2 linked regions of the Kluyveromyces lactis genome follow. The protein of the gene in region 2 purifies or fractionates together with the protein of the main gene of each other region. This does not show direct contact. Links are inferred from orthologs where the notes say so. Each region holds a gene or a part of one and is shown on either strand. Other genes may lie near its edges. The genes, in order: SEN34 and SEN2.

Region 1 (3,062 bases), on a different chromosome or scaffold from region 2:
TTTTGAACAGTGATTCGGATTTCCCAGTGTGTGTGTTTTGGCCTCTCCTTATACCCGCCCGCTGGGATAATAGGTTAGTCAATGGCTGGTCGATGGACGACCCGTTGCCGGCCGTTCAGCTCTAACTCCTGTGAGCTAGGTGATCTTGGTAGGAAAAAAAAAAAAAAAGAAAGAAACTCGTCTGTATTGGAAAAAGTCATGGACAAAACCGGAGTCGAACCGATGACCTCTTCCTTGCAAGGGAAGCGCGCTACCAACTGCGCCATTTGCCCAAATTTTCTGATTTTCCAGTTTCTGATGGAGACCTAGTTCGATGGTGTTGCCCTGTCTTGCTATGCAAATGGCAAAAACAAAAAAGATAACGACAACAGCAGGACTCGAACCTGCGCGGGCAGAGCCCAAAAGATTTCTAATCTTTCGCCTTAACCGCTCGGCCATGTTGCCTAGATAACTTGAAAATTTCAATCTAACATAGGACCACCATCGGCCTTGAATGTCATGTCATGTCTGGTTCGTTCCCCTCACTGCTTTAATCCCTTTCTCATTTTTTTCATCTCTTTCTCCTCTTGGCCAAACTTTATCTCTCAATTTTCTGTTTAAGGCTGGAATGCCCATATTATTGCATGAAACGTTAAATAAAATACATGCACAACTTAAGTAAAGGACATACGAAACTTAAATAAAGTATACTTCCTCAGCCAAACCCTGCCCATTCTACAGAGTAAAATTCAGCATCCCCATTTTCATTTATACCGGGCAGTACCCACGTTTTCTTGACGCTCGTTCCCAAACGTGCACCGTTAATCATGTTCAACAAATCTATCTCTTCATCTTTGCTTCTTGCATCCTGCACAGTAAGGTGCGAATGGTATCGGAGAGGGTCCCCCGGGTACGCAACGTATCGTCCGCCGAACCTGGCTCCTGGTGACATGAAATACCCCATTTCTCTCAATTTTTTGTAAACCTTATAGTTTAGCCTCAATTTCTCGTTTTGTCTCAAGATTTGTTCGCATATCTTTCGTTGATCTATTGTTTGATCGTTGAGGCTTGGTTCAATGACAGCTGAAGTATCCTTGGTCTCGATGAAGATAGACTGTTTCATCAATTGTTCATCCCTTTCGTTAATTACGTCACTCGGTACTGCAACATCGCTTGCGCCTCGAAGGGTCTTCATTTTCCGCAAGAAATTAGCCCGTTTCCATTCTAACTGTTGCGCTACATCGTTTGCTCTGTCGTCTTTGAATTTTTGTAACTTTTCGCCATCTAAACCCTTTAGAGACTTTATCAAGTCTTGGCCCATTACATGCCTAAACACTGCATGTCCAACTTCAACAAGCCACAAGGCCTCTTCCATCATCAATCGAAGCGGGACTCCAAGGAACACGTTCTGCTGCGGAGCACCTCCCAAGGTACCAATTAAAACACCAGCCACGCCATGTTCTCTTATCTTGGCAATATCGTCGACATCATACAGTACAGGGACCACCGATGATGCATCATCACCATCACCGTCTTCCAAATTGGATCCTACCAAATAAATCTTGGCCTTCTCACTCATTGCTTTTGTAAAACTCTCTCTGTATTCCATGTGACACTGCTACGATTTCCCGCTTATCTTTTAAATAGGTACCGAAGGTTTACAGTTGGTCCATGAGCGATGAGCTGCCTGGCTGTTTGCTTGAATGCATGTATGTATACTGTTCAAACCAAATGCTGTCTACTGGCCTTAATTATTCCGATGAGCGAAAAAAAGAAAAAAGTTGATGCGATTTTTAACAAAGCTAGACCGGAAAGGGCGATTCACAAGCGACACAGTAGCAACTAGCAAGTGACATAGTCCGGTGAAACTGTAAATCAATTGTAGAACACATAGGCTACAGACCAGACAAAAAAACTTCCGTCAGCTACATGGAAAATGATACTGTGCAGACTCTTTTGATGTGGCTTAGCAAGATAGCTTGCGATACCGTGGGTACGTATACCACATTCGGCTGGCTTCTTCCGCCTCTCTCACTTCCTTTGCGGGGGGTAATCTCGTTATATCCAGAATCAGATATCAAACACTAAGCCTAGCCTCAATTCCAATTGAGTAAGGGTCCATTCTCTTTTTTTTTCCCCTTCATTACCACTGTGGAATCATTAAAGTAAGCGAGATGGCCAGCCACCCTGTGGGAAATTGACACTCTAGAACCATTTATCCAATATCCATATGCAGGGCACTATCACACCAATTTTTCATCATCCATATATTCCCAGGCTGGAAAAATCAGCTGCCAATTACTACATCTGATTAAGTAGGTACCGTAGTTGCATATTCTGTATGATTACGAAATGTATATAGACTACTAAGCCCCGAAAGTTTGTAACAGGAAAAAAAACAAAAAAACAGAAAACCGAAAGATCAAGACTAATAGAATGCATCTTTTCAAGGCTGCGACCCTTCCTCAACTTTATCCTTATCCTAATTCATCGTAATCATAAGCTTTCCGGACATTTTTATGCTTTTATCGTTTTATGTTTGCTGAATGGGTTTGTCATATATATAGATTAACTTGAATCATTAATTCCACGCATTAAAGGCTTTCATTGGCACTGGAAAACTAACAAAAGAAGAAATCGTTATTAAGAAAGGAAAAAGAACAAGAATTGGCTTACAGAATACATTCCTTGGCGTGCTAATTGTTGATTTGATTATAATATTCAGAAGAAAGTTCTCACTTTTTTGTGTTAAAGTTTTTAGAAAGGGCAATTCATATTAACCCTGTGGTGCTCTCTCCTACCCTGCTAACTGACAGGTTATTTCTTTAGCGACTTGAGTATGAGCTCTTTGAATGAAGGCGTTGATGAAGCACACAGCCCTTCTCTTACCGGTAGGGAAAGTTTTGTTGGGTTACAGAGTAAGAAAGATGAGAATAAAACTGTAGAGACTGAAGAGCAAACTAGACCTCTCAACAAAGGGGTTACATCCACCTCAATAGGTGCCGTTAAACCTTTAAAACATCACGACACTCAAATTACCATGATGTCTGTGAATAGAATGACCAAGGCGTCGAGTTTCAAGT
Region 2 (3,093 bases):
TGGAATACTTACACGTTTAAAGATTTTTGGAAAATCGATTACTTGTCATAAATGGCATACATGCGAAATATTCGAAATATTCGAAGAGATGCCAAGATTTACAAGACTATAGGTACTAAACACTGCTATCTGATATTTCATATTGCAGTATTACGAAATACGAAGATCTTAACTTACTATGAAACTACTGGGAACAATAATTGGTTCAGCATTCTTTTTACAAGCTGTGTCTGGATTCTTTTTCGATTCAGGTCACCAGAATAGACAGCAACAGCAGCAACAGCAGCAACAGCGGGATGTTGGCTCTTACCAGCAAATGTTCCTAGATAATGACTGTCCGCATTATTTATGTCCACAGACATTGGATTGTGTGAGACAGAAGTCGGATTGTGCGTGTCCGTTCCCTAATTCACAATTGAAATGCAATCTACCCAACGGTCAGGTAATTTGCATCTCAAAGCCAGCAACACATGATCCAACACTGGTAGAGATTTATGATGATCCAGTAATGGGACCAGCTCAACGTACTGAGGGATTCAGAGATTGTGGATGGATCTTGGATGTATATGACGGCAAGATTTAGAATGAGAGATCTTTCTTTCTGTATCGGCCATAATACTATTACAAACATAAACTGATAATATATATAGAGACATATAATACAGACCATTACTGTATTTAATGCAATTAACTAGCATGGGTTTATTTTTACTCGTTTGAGTTCTTCGCGGAAAAGATCGTTACCGGTTCGGAACAGTTAATCTCTGTTCTTACCTGCAACCCATCTTTTGTATAACAATTCATGGATTTTAAAGTTTCTGAAAAGCTCATCGTACTTTGATTGCTTCCAAAGTTCCATTAAGTCATCTTCAGGTATGAGTTGTTCAACGTAGCATAATACAAACTGTTTCTTGGCTCCGCCCACGACTCTGGCAGCGCTTGAATACCAAGTGTAATCATTTGACTGGTTTGCATCCAAAACCATGATTCCATACTCCGCATGTTGGAAAGGGGGTCCTCTTCTGTATAATAAGTATTCGCAACCAAATTTTATCCCCGATCGTACACACCACCCTTTGGACCTGTAATGATGGTACGCGACATATTGATGAATTAATTTCTTGATGTCTTGGAAACTTTTCGGTTCCAGTACCAACGAAACCATTAATTGTTGCAATGTGATCTTCAATACCGGCACTGCATAAGAGAGGAAAATAGCCTCGACGGGCATCAATTGCAAGCTTTCTAGTTGAATCACTGATTTGCCTTCTATTAATCTTAAATCTTCGTCACGTATTTGCATCGAGTCCTTTTCAAAAGCTAATTCTTTATCTCTTTGATTCTTTAAGAATAACCTTTCTTGTTCAATGAATTGTTCGTCTACAATCCCCTTTTGTCTCATTTCTAACTTCTTGGCTTCAAATTCAGCTCTCAGTTTCTTGAATTCGAGCCGCTGCCTTCTTCTAACGTCTGTAACATGCTCTAAGTTGATTCGATCAGCATCATTTAGTTGCAATCGAGACATTGTTCTTGCCTGCCAGTTGGGTTCACTCCGAGATAGTTGACCAGTACCAAAGAATCCGTGTTCCCATAAATACTTCATCTGCCATTGATCACATACCAAAATTTGACCTAATTGGTTGATCTTGACGTCAATAATTCTGGTTTCACTCCATCTCATCGCCCAATCTAATATCCAGGAAAATGCCTGAAAGGGATGTTTCCATACAGACGGTACAGGCTGCGCCTCTATAGGCAACGCATGTTTGTATTGCAGCTGATTTCTATGAGATCGCTTCGACATTGTAAGTACTTGCCTCCCGCGGTCTTCATATATAGTTACTAAACATGCAAGAGAGATTAGCATTGGACAAAATATGGTTTTATAACTGATCTCTAATTCAAAAGAATTAAGTTTCAATAACTAAAAACTCGAATAAGCAGTACAGAGTTAAGGAGTGATATTAGGTTTACATATTTTACTAAGAGGGGTACGAATTAGAGTAGAGAAAGGACAAATCAGATACCGTTGTAGTCTATTGAGAAATCGTGTGCTCACATTGAAATAAATTCTTCGAGACATCTAAAATGGTTTATCATCATATATAAAGAAAAAGCCCTTCAAAAAAGAAAAATATCCACAGAGGTAACATATCTTACCGCTCACTCCATCTGGAATCTATGAACAGTAAGTATGCTGGCTGTATGAATCAACTACAGTTGGTTTATTTTTTGGTTGATCAGAATACTTATATATGTGGCATCAAACATATCTTTTCTCTTCCAAGCTCATCGCTTTTGGCCTTTTATACTGAAAAATGAAAATTTTCACGTTTGTGAAATGTCAGTATCACATACAACGGACAATTTCTATACATTTCGGGCTCTAAGGAGGCAGAGATTCTATGTGTTGAGCCGGGTCTGGGTTAGGGCTTTAAATAGTTTAGTACCATGAAATATTGGTATATTTTTATTTATTGTTGATATTGTTATTACGGTATCTAGTTAAAGATCTATTGTACAGTTTTATACTTTTTTTTAGGTTTTTGACGTGATGTTGTCCATCTACATGGATGCCATCTCTGAGAAATACTGTCTTAAGATAATGGATAACATTTCTGGGAGTTCGGTAATGTCATGAACGACAACGTAGAATTCGAATGGGAATGTGTCTAGGTATTTCTGGACTGATAGTTTCATGTTGCCGAATTGATCTGGAATATAGTTCACTTGAGACATATCCATGATTGATTCGTTAGAGTTAATACCATCGATGACAACGAAAACGAGCATGATTTTATTTTCCCTTGCTCTGCGAACCAATCTTACTAATGTTTCGTGGTCTTCACAAACACCATCGGAGATGATAATTTCCAATTGCCATAGGTCGTTACTCTCCATAGCTCTTGCTCTTTCAAAGATCTTGATACTTTCAGCTACCAATTTCTTGACATCGGTTCTTGTTTCTTGGAAATCAAACCATTGGAAAGTCTGAGCACCAGTTTGGGTATTGAAAGGTTGGTTGAATGGGTGAACTTCTCTTACAGTTTCACCGAATTTCACGATAGATAAACCACCGGATTCAAGTTGAGT

The links.
Region 1: the proteins of SEN2 (region 2) and SEN34 purify together in Saccharomyces cerevisiae (affinity purification with western blotting; 4 studies listed by BioGRID, with this or other methods). This does not show direct contact. The link is inferred for Kluyveromyces lactis from reciprocal best matches to the Saccharomyces cerevisiae genes SEN2 and SEN34.

Annotation. Positions count from the first base shown.
Region 1 is NC_006037.1:783,125-786,186, reverse strand, and holds SEN34 (tRNA splicing endonuclease subunit SEN34), read right to left. Parts: upstream 1,589-3,062; coding exon 695-1,588; downstream 1-694. Other genes in the region: calcium-transporting ATPase PMC1, read left to right, coding at 2,819-3,062. UniProt on the Saccharomyces cerevisiae protein: Constitutes one of the two catalytic subunit of the tRNA-splicing endonuclease complex, a complex responsible for identification and cleavage of the splice sites in pre-tRNA. It cleaves pre-tRNA at the 5'- and 3'-splice sites to release the intron.
Region 2 is NC_006042.1:1,837,117-1,840,209, forward strand, and holds SEN2 (tRNA splicing endonuclease subunit SEN2), read right to left. Parts: upstream 1,868-3,093; coding exon 758-1,867; downstream 1-757. Other genes in the region: LCL2 (Lcl2p), read left to right, coding at 179-583; REA1 (AAA family ATPase midasin), read right to left, coding at 2,566-3,093. UniProt on the Saccharomyces cerevisiae protein: Constitutes one of the two catalytic subunit of the tRNA-splicing endonuclease complex, a complex responsible for identification and cleavage of the splice sites in pre-tRNA. It cleaves pre-tRNA at the 5'- and 3'-splice sites to release the intron.